2 linked regions of the Neodiprion lecontei genome follow. The protein of the gene in region 1 interacts with the protein of each later gene in a pairwise test. Links are inferred from orthologs where the notes say so. Each region holds a gene or a part of one and is shown in the gene's direction. Other genes may lie near its edges. The genes, in order: GRB2-associated-binding protein 2 and tyrosine-protein phosphatase corkscrew.

Region 1 (4,899 bases):
GTAGATATACTTTGACAACTTTTGATATTTGTGTTAAACACACAGTCATCATGCCATCGGTATCATCTATTTCCTAGTCTAATCCAATTGGTCGAGGAACTGCTTTCCTCTTTCTTTTGGCCATTGCAACTTCTTCGCTGTTTTGGTGTTCTTCTACGATTTGACTTGTTTCTCCGTGTTCATCATCAGCTTTGAGCTCATCTTTTAGAATAGATTGCTCTTGTGCTTTAGTATCATCATCTGAACTTACACTCATATCTGATACTGCACTAAAATCAGTAGTTAACTCTTCTATCCTAGGATCTGACTTTGCCATAATGATGGCTTCGAACAAATCTTTTAAATCATCAAAGACTTGTTTGGCTCCATCCGTTGATATGCCTTCTGCCCATCCGATTATCGTAGACTTTGACACTCGTTTTGCATGAAAATCTTTGTGAGTCATAATCATCTTAAGCTTGTCTTCATAGTTAGTAGCAGCTTGTCTAAGTGATATACAACATTCACATGTATATTCACGCATAGTGTCAGACATTGTGATCCACATAGCTAAGATTAAGGATATCCATATTTGCAAATCCATCATGAATCTTTTGGTGTCGTATTCACCAGATTCATCATCCCTGTAGTGTATTGGATGTGGACATGCTGCATGGAACAGAGTTCTCACTGCTTGAATGCTCATGCGATATCTTATCTCTTGCTGGTTTATTGCTCTTCTTCTCTTTGATCTAGTAAGGATTTTAGTTTCAGTCTGCATTCTGTATCTATATATTCGGTCATCGAAAATTTCTTATATGATCCATTATATTTTGGTGCATATCTGGGTAACTAAACCCCCGAAGAAAGGGGCGTGTCGTAGGAGTTCTAGGCACACCATGGGTGTATTCCGAAATATACTCGCAGTACTGCAAGTACTGGCAACTGAACGCTGTTGATCACGTGATCGAAGCACTGAGAGCACCTTACCTTGAAAGCACCAGTGTTCACAGTAGAAAAATGGCGACGATTTATGACGTCATATATTTCCCTAGGATACTGCGACTGCATACAGTCAGTCTATATCGGAACGAATTTCTCCCCAGTAAGAGCACTGAACAGTGCTCGCAGTGTATATTGGAACATACCCTTCGTGTTTTCAGTGTGTTGGCAAGTATTGAGCAAAGATCCAATCCTCTTTGGTCTGGTTTTTCATGGGCAACAAAATGCTGCCGCAGTGTTTTACTGCCTAGTTCGTGGCCAATAGGAATGTCAAGAAAATAGATATTTCACATTCAGCGCATACTAAGTGGCGCTAGTATCAACACATCGACTCATTGCTCATCGAGTTTTAATCATCTTCAAAAGGTAAGATAATTTTCATTAATTAATACAAGGATAATCCTATTCCCGGTTTGTTCGAAAAGCGGGATTGAGCATCCACTGTCTAGTGCATTCCAATGCTAGTTGGTATTTGGTCACCCAGAACTACTGATTGTGTCTAGCTGTGCCATCACGATTAGATCCAGTGTCTAGCTTCTGGAATCGTTGGGGACAGCAGTTGCGACGTCACACTCATGATTAAAAATCACCCTATGACTTCAATAGCAGATGTTTCAGTCCTCTTCATGCCATTGCTTTATACGTTCTTTATACTATGTCTTTTAGACGTTCGTGGATCAAACTTCCTGTAGTGACGAACGAAGTGAGATAACCTTATCTTACAAACTAACTTTGGTTGTGTGTCGAGATTACGATGCTCGTTGGTGAGCTACTTGCCTGTGTATCGACCAAAAATAGATAAATGGACCGAATACGTGCGTGTTAGTCGCTCGGTCTTCTCAATGATGTGTCATTAATCGTTACGACTCGTTAAGAAGTGTGTAGGGCATGGATACGCTCAAAACAAGCCAAGAAATCGTCCACGAAGGCTGGCTTATAAAATCGCCACCCTCAAAATTGTGGAAAGCGGTAAGGTTTCCTCTAAAATCTAATCGAAGATGACTCTTTCCATTGTTTACGTTAACCAGGGCTTCTATCATCCGACAATTAATCATTCCCATTTAACGCTCGGATAACCCCTGTTTTAATTGAATGGGATTCATACATCGTCAAGCCCCACTCTTGATCGGGACACTTCGAACCGTTTTAAATGGGTTAACATTTTTCCTAACAATATAACCGTCAGTCTAACCTAGGAAGTGAAAGATATCCTTTCCACCTCATACCTGGATACTCGTGAGACCCCAAAAGAATTTGTAGTCTTGTCTTTCCCAATTCAATTCTGAATCAATCTTTTTATTCGCTTGGGTTTTTCCTAATAATCATTGATTGTTTGCTCAACTGTGGAAATTGGCTCAACGCCACCACGGACAGCTAGTCAGGTATCTGTGTGTTGCACATACTTCAGATCTCGGTTTATCCTACTTAAATTTATGACGTATTCCTAATAATCATTGTTTGTTGTCAATTTACTTTAATCTTAGTCGTCTTTGTCATATTTGCTGAGCTACTGTTTCCAGTATTTTTACAGGCAACTATTCCAAATGTAAACTTATTTAGAGCATCTAATCAAAGCCTCAAAGTGATTATACATAATTATCAGTATTCTTTGACATCTCAGTTAGCATACTTAATTTTATTCTTATTTATGTGTAATCTTATTTATGTGTATGTGGTATAGAATCACTTGTCATAATATGTAGATAGCATTGTTGATGAATAATTTGTGTAATTTGGTAGAAGCACATAAAAATAATGTTACTTTAGGCAAATCTAATAATATTTGACTGTTTCCATTCATTCGTATGTAATCTTCCTTACATCTTTTTTGAATTATGATATTTTTCCCTCATAATGAATACATTTCAACTCTTACTTTTCTGATTTATTCACTAGGGTTCAATATCTTAGTTTTCATTGACACACAGCTCTGTGAATTATGCTGCAACGAAAACGAATCTCCTTGAAACTGATTCTAACGTAACTAACTAGTCAGCATCTGTTGCAACCAGAAAAAACCTGTTTCATCAGTACTGTCCAATTATTTGAATTCCAACAGAAAGTAATGTTCCACGAAAGTTATCAATGATAGATCTAGATATTGGACTGTTTTAAATCAATTTGGTGTTATTATGCTACATATGCACCTCATTTTGTCAAGTAGTTATTGTTGTCTGCCACACCCAATTTGTTTTTCGTAACAACATTGAAGCAGAACATTCAACAAATTCTTACCGTGTATCGTACCTCGAAACTGATTGCTCTAGAGATGGCGAAAGCGTTGGTTTGCGCTCCGTCACAGCGGAGAATTGCCTGGACAATATTTCTTGGAATATTACACAGACAGACGTTGCAGAAAGCTCAAGGGCCGCATAGATTTGGATCAATGCGAGCAGGTAATTATTTTTATTTCCAAAAATTCTAAAAACGTCATTAAAGTTAGTTTTTGCCAAAAATTACAAGTTATTTGCCATTTAAGAATGAGAATAATCGTTGATTAATCAACTACAAATGTGCAGGTGGATGCTGGCTTGAGATTTGAAAATCGAAAGCAGAAATATCAGTTCATGTTCGACGTGAAGACTCCGAAAAGAACTTACTACCTGGTGGCAGAGAGCGAAGCTGACATGAACAAGTGGGTTGATGCAGTTTGCCAGGTTTGCGGTTTGAAAGCTTACACACAGGATGATGAGCCGCACTGTCAAAGTAAGTCTGAAAATAAGTATCTATATCTAAAACTACTTGTTAAATTAACAATTCTGTTACAAATTGTCTGTTTATTAAATATTAATTGAATTTGAAAATGCAGATCTTTGTTTACGAAAGACATTTTTTGGTTCTTTGGTATTTTTGCTGTGTAGACGAATATACTTTTAACACATTCCAGTGACGCAAAGTAAAGTTGTCTATGTTTCAATTTTTCTCTTCAACAGTATTTCCATTCGAGCCTCAAGAGTCGCCTCCGATCTCACCAACCAGTACTATATCTGGACCCTACATTCCAATCAGTGAATGCATTTCTGGCCGCTCCTTGAACGACACAAGCTCTCTTAGTTCTGCCCTGGGACAGAATACAGAACAATATTATGATGCCCCAAGAAAGTTGGCTCCCTCTCCACCCAGATCTCCGACTACAACTGATGCAGAAAGTGTATTTACTGACGATGAATGGACTTCTCCAGTTCCTAGTGTTAATTGGGAGACATTTCCTTCGTCTCGTAAGTAAAAAATTGTAATTAAAGCCGCAGTTGACCTTAATTGATCAGCTTTAACTCACGGATATTGCTTTCAAAATTTAAGTGTATTTGCAATGATTTGTGAGGAAAGAAGATGCTGTCTCCTTTGAATTAGATTTTGTTTTTAGAAAATCAATCCATGTGTTGATTCCTTCGTAAAGGCTCATTTAATTGATTTGAGCTTTTTAGTAATATGTTACATAATATTGACATCGACTCAACTATGATTGTACAAATTAAATTTATTATCTGATGTTCCTAGAATTTCAACTATGAGAAACTCATTCTTCCGAATGTTTTTGGTTGGAAATTTACTTTATTTATTATTTGCATTCATATTAACTTTTACTGTCATTTTTTGAAATTTCTATTTGGACCACTTTCTTTTTACACCGTTTTTGATCCACCATTTGCCTATTAGAAATTGTCGTCACTTTCTTTTGATAAATTTTTTTTCGCATTCTGATCCATTATGTAAGAATCCCTTAAGGTTGAGGAAAAATTTTTTTACCTCGAACCGAAAATTTTTTTAAGCAGGTGAAGCTAGACCAAGCAACGTATCAGGAGATGCAGAGATTGGATCTTGGAGCGTAATGAAAAGATTTGGAAAGCTTCAGATCGTAGATTCAGTGACACCTCCGGCTGTAGAAAAGATACCAGCACCTCCACGACCTCCAAAACC
Region 2 (8,071 bases), on another chromosome or scaffold:
AATAATTGTCGAAGCGTTCATCGCAGTGTCATTGGATTATGGGCAATCGTTTTTTCTTAAAAAAATATATTCCATATGGCTGATGTAAAACTCACTTCAGATTCAACCGTTTTTCATTATGAAGTCAAAATTCATTGCAGAAATATGCGATAAAAACATAAATACAGCTTCTAATGCTTATCTAAGAATTTGGTACTACAAAACCTTATCTCAGATTTTGGTTCAACAAAACCCTATCTCAGAATTGCGTTGAATAACATTGTATGTCCAAAGTGATCTTTCAGGATATACGACGTTTTTGTACGAAATTCTAAGATGAGGTTTTGTTGAACAAAAATCTGAAATAGTATATTGGTGCTCTCAGCCGACGATATAAAGCAAAAGTTAAAATATAAACTCATTCAGAATCAATTCCGTATCGCACTTAACGATACACACCAGAGTGTAGACATGATTGCAATACTTGGGAACAGAAATGATAGTAATATTAATAGTATCGAACAAAAAATTCAAAGGTTTTATTACTACTTCTGTGGTAAGAAACCAATTTGGTTTTGCTGTATTATCACGCTGTAGCTATAGCAGTGCTACAGCGATACTGGCAATGCACAAATATTCTAGGATCGTCGATGATATGTGTATAAATAATTATCTTAATGTAACATTTTTCTTCTTTTTTACATGCGCATATGTGGCTACAGATATGCATCATGTAATTCTTCCACCATGATTAGTATACATACCTATAAGTAGGTATAGGTATAATAAGAGGGTACTCGTAAATCATTTCTGTAAGGTGAAAAGCTTTCTTTTCTACCCGTTCAATCATACATAAAATTTTCCTACACGTGATCGAACTACACCTAATTCGAATCACAATGGTTTTGGATAGCGAAGGAATTATACGACAATTCGTAGCATCTGTAGTAATGGTTTAAAAAATAGCGAACTTATTCTAACAACGTAAGAAAAAAATACGAAGTACGCCTAGGTAAACTCAGTATGGAACTGACAATGAGTCGAGTTGACAGTAGTATTACCGCCGAACCCACCTGGCCAGAGAAAATATTCGCCAAGGTTTGAACGTCTTTACATATCTTCAGTCAACGGTATATACGGCGCGATACTTGTGATTTGAGTTACTATGTGCAGCTATGTGTGGTTCGGTCACGTAAAATGTTTCGTAGGATTTAACGTGTAGGAATGACGTATCCCGGCCTTTCAGAGAATAAATAATCCTGGAATAGAAATACGGTTTCACAAAGTAAGCTTTTGACAACGACATCTCAATATGCTTTCCATGTTATGAGAAGAAGTCGTGATGTCATGATTGCGTCACTTCAACTTCATAATTCATATCAGCAGTTGTAACTTCCTTACTCCATTTATGTCCTACATTCACTTCATGTAATCATATATCATACAATTCAAACTGCTGTACCTACTGGGCTACCAACGCCTACTGTTGAACAGCCGAACGCTTACTCTTATTCGGCAAGGCGCTAATGTCAACGGTCGGCAACCAGGAATAGTTTTTCAAATATATTTAAAACGGAACTACCTAACAGTACTTTCAGTTTCATGAGGTATTCGAATATGCCATTCCGCTCTTTGTAAATTATCTAATATGAGAAAGAATGTCAATTGCACGTTTCTATTTGCTAGTAAATCGAAGAAATTGTTATAAAATAAATTTCCGTCGGTTAAGAAGGAGTACAGCATCGTGTATTTCTTCATGCAGCTTCTATCCGTTGAATTTTAATTTCTGCATAAAAATCAATGCATACACTTATTTTTTACCAAACTCCTCGTTTTTTGTATTGTGGTGAAGGGAATTCAACTTATGATATTTCCTCGTATTAGTGAGTAGCGATCGTCGTCTAACAGCGGTACGAGCATGCAACTGACGAGAAATTTTAAATCGGTAATTCGAATGACCCTTCTATAGGCTGCATAGTAATATCCCTTTGGCTCTCAGTGTCCAGTGTGGCCGTTTTTTTGTTTTCGTTGACACTTGAAAATGTCAGGTTGGTGTCAGTTTTCGAAAAGAGTTTCACTCGCAGTTTACTGACGTTGCAAGTTACGATTTTCATTGTTAAAACTGAAACAATGAAGCAGTAAATGTTGACTGGTTACAATCGTAGTTGCGACATGGCATCCCGCAGGTGAGGCACGTTATGGTAATTGCATAGAAAGGGGAAAAAATACGCCACTCGTACTCGATGCTTTCAGTTGTGTGTCATTTTAAATATCCACTGGCTATAATTGTACCTGAATTAATCAACCTAAATTAAGATTTTCGGTTCGCGAAACATCTTTATTCTAATTTCATCAAATTACACCATTAACTATCGCATTTCGCAAGACTATATACGAATGATTAACCTAACTAACAATACGCATACTAACTTTGAGGCTAATGCATTGATGACGCGTAGCTAAATTATTTGTCAATAATTTCTCAATGCCTCGTTTACTCATGGTTAATTATGGTCGAGTAGGTGCTCAACGATGCCTATTTTGCAACCACATTCTGTCTTTGAGTCATTTCAATCACATTGAGATTAGTATTCATAACCTGAGATGGTAGGATACAAATTTTAATGTAAATATTACACTCGGACGTATACGGTACTTTTTCTATACCTGACTGTACATTGTAAACGCATCTCATTATTTACAAACAAACTGGCAAATACAAGCAAGTTTCTTTTTCAATTAATCACACATTGTTCTACATTTTATTAATTTGCTAATATAATAATTGTAATACAGTTTATTGTTTGCAGTCAATAACTACGTCAGAGAATAAGTTATTCAAAATTAGATAAATACGCCGTAGAGTAACTTGTAGGCTCTATCATTGCAACTTCGTATAGTATTAGCATCCATTGGCCTTGAGTAATACCTTTTTTGTGCTGTGGAAGGAATCTGGTTTTAATGAATATAGATTATTTTTCCATTGCACCATCGATGACAGAGTGATGCAAGGCATGCAGTGATGCATCCACGCCTTAATTTGGCTCGAGGTTAATCGAGTAATATATATTCTGATAAGATACAGACGCTGTGTTTCTAACAAGCAGCTCTGACGGCCTTTCTCATCCTTTGTGAACTAAAATATTGATGTAATAAGAGTATTATTATATTACTCAAGCAAAGTACAGTCGTCGAAAGTTATATATCACTGCATTCGACAGATGGTTTCATCCCAATATATCAGGTTTGGAAGCGGAAAAATTGTTGATGGGACGTGGATATGACTGCTCTTTCTTAGCAAGGCCCAGTTCATCTAATCCTGCAAACTTCACACTGTCAGTGAGGTGAGTAAAAATATTCTTCTTGTTATGAGACTGCTTTGACAATTTTTAAATGTGTATTTAAGTTTATAATCAGTAGCAGCATTTAACTTATTTGCTTGATATTTTATGTGCTTAGAAATTATTGTATGATATTATGTGTATGATGTGCAGTTATTTATAATTTCGAGTAATAATCAAATAACCAGACTAATATATTGAAATTGCTTTTACATCTACATGTCACATAAGTGTAGTAGTGTTAATAGCGTTCAAGCACTTTTCACTATTGGTGTTGATTGCCTTAAAAGAGCGGCATGATTTTTAGACGAAATGGGGAAGTGACCCATATCAAAATTCAGAATACAGGAGATTTTTACGATCTTTATGGTGGAGAAAAGTTTGCAACATTGTCCGAGCTTGTCCAGTACTATATGGAAAATGGTGGACAATTACGCGAGAAAAATGGAGAAGTGATTGAACTGCGATATCCTCTAAACTGCGCAGATCCAACTACTGAGAGGTATGTGTTATCCTTTTTACACATCTGTCAAACTTTTGATTTGACCTAGACTCAAGTTATTGATTGAACTTTCCATAGGTGGTTTCACGGACACCTGTCGGGAAAAGAAGCAGAACGATTGATGGTAGAACGTGGAAAAAACGGTTCATTTCTTGTGCGAGAATCTCAAAGCAAGCCGGGTGATTTTGTTTTGTCCGTGCGCACCGACGATCGCGTAACTCACGTCATGATACGTTCACAGGTCATTATTGTTATATTCGTCTAACTCCTATGTCAGGGAACTGCAAATCTATAATATTTCCGATTCGTCACTGAGAGTTAACGAGCAAACTTAGTCTTCTTGGTCAATTGCTTTGTCTTAGTAGAGTTTACTTGCTGGTAGTTCCCAGCCCTATTCCATTTTTCAGTCGATTTGAGATATACTTACATACCTAAACTAGAGAAAAAAAACAACTAATCAATGTTGCAGGACAATGGATTTGACGTAGGCGGCGGTGATAAATTTGACAGTTTAAGCGATCTTATAGAACATTATAAACGCAATCCAATGGTAGAAACAAGTGGAACTGTTGTTCACCTGCGGTAAGTGACTAGCGTTTCTTATTTTTTAGGATAAAACTATCGTTCTTATCTACATATACTAAGTGTAACTCTACTGATAATTCTATGCGACTTTCTTCTTTCAGGCAACCATTCAATGCAACTCGTATTAATGCAAGCGGAATTGAGAGCAGAGTACGACAGTTGCATAAAGAGAACGGGTGGTACAATGCTTCTGGGGGTTGCACTAACGGAACAGGAAATGGCGCGGGGGGTTCTGTCAAAGGAAAAGCTGGCTTTTGGGAAGAATTTGAGTCGTTGCAGCAACTTGAATGTGGTCATTTATTCTCTCGAAAGGAAGGTCAACGTCCGGAGAACCGAGCAAAAAATCGCTACAAGAATATATTACCTTGTAAGACTATTATCTATTATAGTACAAGACCCTACAACCAAAATTTTGGTCTCATACACTTGGGTTAGATTTGTTGACAGTCTTGAAAATGCAGCCAGGTCAGACAATATGAGCAGAATGTCTAAAAACCGAAATTTTAGTAACGAAATAACAAAATCTGTGTGCATTTTCAAGATTAGATAAGATGTGATAATATCCTCTATGTTTATTTAAAATTTTTTTGATAGTAGAAATAGTCCCCCATGAAGCTGCTAGGCCTTCTGAGCGTTACTACCCGCCTAGTCAGATCTAGGGTCATCTAGTCTACCGAGATCTGTGGATTTAGTCGTGGGCCCTCGTACTATAATAATTTAATTCAATGTATATATGACAATTATTAGATTAAAACTTTGAAACTGAAAATGTCTATGAAGATGGTGACCAAGTCACATAGTCTAAATTTCAAATATTACTAACATATTTTTACTTATAACTCTTTCAGTTGATCACACAAGAGTACGCTTAAAAGATGTGGATCCTAATACTCCAGGGGCTGACTACATCAATGCCAACTATATACGAGTATGTCGTTATATGTCATTGGTTTTTCCATTTCAATTTCATATTAATCAAAAATTCACTTACTGAAAAATCTAACCATAACTTGTAATTAAAATGTTTACTCTTTCACGTTTTATATAAAATTTGAAATGTAACGTAGACTGAAGAAGGTGATAATGCTGCATCCACTGGTGCTGGAGTGGGTGATGCTGGATCATCAACCAAATGTTATATAGCTACTCAAGGGTGCCTTCCTAATACTATTCAAGATTTCTGGCACATGGTATACCAAGAAAATACTCGTGTTATTGTGATGACAACAAAGGAGATGGAGAGGGGAAAGGTATTCAGAAATCAAATTCCAGAGCATAAGAAAATACGAATCCAAGTTTCTTGATTCTTATATAATCGTTTATATTTCAGAATAAGTGTGCTCGCTATTGGCCAGAGGAAGGTGAGCAAGCTGAATATGGAGAATGGAGAGTGCGCACTTTTGGTCATATATCAACAGCGGATTATACTCTTCGCGAGTTTCTCCTAAGTGGAGTCAAACCGCAGCATTCTGAACCCAGAAAAATTTACCATTACCACTTTCAAGTACATATTGATTTTCTTTTTATATTCATAATTTACATAATATTTGAATGCTTTAGCAACAATCTGTCTTGGTTAATGGTGACGTACGTTTGTCGATCTTTACATACGTTGTTAGATGTAACTAAAATTATCTGTGATCATGATAATAACAAGAATAATAATTAATAAACTATTATAATAATAAATAATAGACGAAAACGATTGGCAGGCGTGGCCGGATCATGGAGTCCCTTCGGACCCTGGCTGCGTCTTGAACTTTCTCCACGACGTGAATGCCAGACAAATTGCTGCGGCTGCTGTGCCTAGTAGCAATAATATTGGTGCTCCTGGAATCGGACCCATTCTTGTACACTGCAGTGCTGGTATCGGACGTACAGGCACTTTTATTGTCATCGACATGATCTTAGATCAAATCAAACGACATGGTAAATATCTTCATTATAGAGAATCCTCGGGATTATTTTACTGCAACACACTGGTCACAATTATCAAGAATATTTGCTCCTGTCTTCAAAATGAATGCCCTCCCCCCAATATCTTTGTGAATTCAGCAGTTCTTCGTATAGTAGAATATGCAGATATACATGTATTTTTTTTTTTAAGGACTGGAATGTGAAATCGACATCCAACGTACAATTCAAAAGGTGCGAAGCCAACGCTCAGGAATGGTTCAGACCGAAGCTCAGTACAAGTTTGTGTATCTAGCTGTTCTACACTACATTGAAACAGTTTCACAACGCATGTTGGCACAGCAGGTATTATTTTGATTTTTCAGTATCAATTGCATCGCCTTTACAAAAATATGTTACTTTTCTAAATGCATACTAACAACATTGCAGAAAGCATCACAGTTGGGTCGTGAGTACACAAACATCCGATATTCCGATGAAACCAATGTTGCAGTAAGTAGTGGATCAGGAGATGCCTCATCTCCTACGCCAACTCTTGTTGCTTTCCCAACCCCGACGAATATCACACTTTCCACTACAGTCGGTTCGCTTAGGCCAAAGTAACTCGGCATGTTATTGGATCAGCCGCGAATGAACACTTTACAGACTGAGAGAAGAAATTACTTACTACTTTCTTTCAAGTGATATTGATATGCTCTTTTTCTCTGGTAACACGTAATATCGAGATAATTGCTTATGATCTTGAGTGTGTGCACAAAGAGCAGACTCACTTATTCCTTTTACAATTTTCAATTGGCGAAATGAGAGAAAGGGAATGAAGGTTAACTTGCTTACAGAGACGATATACGTTGTTTATCTGTCGTAACTAATTGCCCGTACATGAAATTATGCTATGTTGGGAAAAGTCAACGTTCTCTGTCCATTTATATTTATAATATGAAATAAAGACCCTATGGCAACTATTTCTGTTATTACTAAATTCCCGTCAGCATACATACTCAATATGGATTAGGGAATGAGTAATAGCTGTATAACTGGGCTAGTAGTCGAGTCAAGAATTTTGTTTTTATTTTCGGTGAAACGTCAAATGGAAAACAATTGAGTATAAAGAAGTTCTGATAATATTGACTTTAAATACTAATAATACGGATGTCATAGGTGACACAATATCGGCAATGACACTTATATACAGTTAAAATAAATAAAATTTTGTACAAATATACAACTTATTAGCGATAACATATGCGTACAGCGTAATACGATACATCGAAGTTCTTCTCACGTGTGTGAACGTGTAAGGATATGTCATACTATATACGTAGCATCAAATTTCTGATACCACACTAATGCGTCAACGTATATTACTCATTAATGATTAGTCATATATCTCTGTTCCTATCGTATTTAAAATCCAATCCATATAATATGGAACGTTCGTGTAAACCCCGGGAGCCCCTTCTATTCCGCAATCTCTTGGTCCGAAACTAACCACCCCATAAAGAATGTTTCTTGGCTGCCTGTTGTATATCCCTAGAGCTTGAAGCGGACCGCCGCTATCTCCGGAACATGAATCGGACCGATTCGAGCCTCCGGCGCATATTTGTTTGTACGATATTCTTACGTTCCGCTCTCTGTACAATCTGGCACATACGTCGTTGGGAACGATTGGCAAAGTGACCTTCTGCAAAATTTCGCTTCGCGGGCCTGTTTCTGTCGCACCCCAGCCCGTCACGATCATCTTTGAATGCAA

The links.
Region 2: the proteins of GRB2-associated-binding protein 2 (region 1) and tyrosine-protein phosphatase corkscrew interact in binary tests that used the Homo sapiens proteins (3 or more experiments, as listed by UniProt). The link is inferred for Neodiprion lecontei from reciprocal best matches to the Homo sapiens genes GAB2 and PTPN11.

The regions. Positions count from the first base shown.
Region 1 is NC_060265.1:9,033,038-9,037,936, forward strand, and holds the start of GRB2-associated-binding protein 2, read left to right. Parts: upstream 1-1,630; 5' UTR 1,631-1,869; coding exon 1,870-1,950; intron 1,951-3,248; coding exon 3,249-3,377; intron 3,378-3,500; coding exon 3,501-3,687; intron 3,688-3,914; coding exon 3,915-4,199; intron 4,200-4,751; coding exon 4,752-4,899. Other genes in the region: uncharacterized protein LOC124294987, read right to left, coding at 74-760. UniProt on the Homo sapiens protein: Adapter protein which acts downstream of several membrane receptors including cytokine, antigen, hormone, cell matrix and growth factor receptors to regulate multiple signaling pathways.
Region 2 is NC_060263.1:35,935,021-35,943,091, reverse strand, and holds tyrosine-protein phosphatase corkscrew, read left to right. Parts: upstream 1-1,957; 5' UTR 1,958-2,121; coding exon 2,122-2,165; exon of another isoform or gene 2,166-2,180; intron 2,181-2,229; exon of another isoform or gene 2,230-2,302; intron 2,303-3,200; coding exon 3,201-3,323; intron 3,324-3,610; exon of another isoform or gene 3,611-3,616; coding exon of another isoform or gene 3,617-3,627; coding exon 3,628-3,822; intron 3,823-3,900; coding exon 3,901-4,063; intron 4,064-4,291; coding exon 4,292-4,404; intron 4,405-4,508; coding exon 4,509-4,774; intron 4,775-5,255; coding exon 5,256-5,335; intron 5,336-5,474; coding exon 5,475-5,657; intron 5,658-5,737; coding exon 5,738-5,911; intron 5,912-6,119; coding exon 6,120-6,336; intron 6,337-6,514; coding exon 6,515-6,666; intron 6,667-6,750; coding exon 6,751-6,924; 3' UTR 6,925-7,283; downstream 7,284-8,071. Other genes in the region: serine protease easter, read right to left, coding at 7,697-8,071. UniProt on the Homo sapiens protein: Acts downstream of various receptor and cytoplasmic protein tyrosine kinases to participate in the signal transduction from the cell surface to the nucleus. Positively regulates MAPK signal transduction pathway. Dephosphorylates GAB1, ARHGAP35 and EGFR.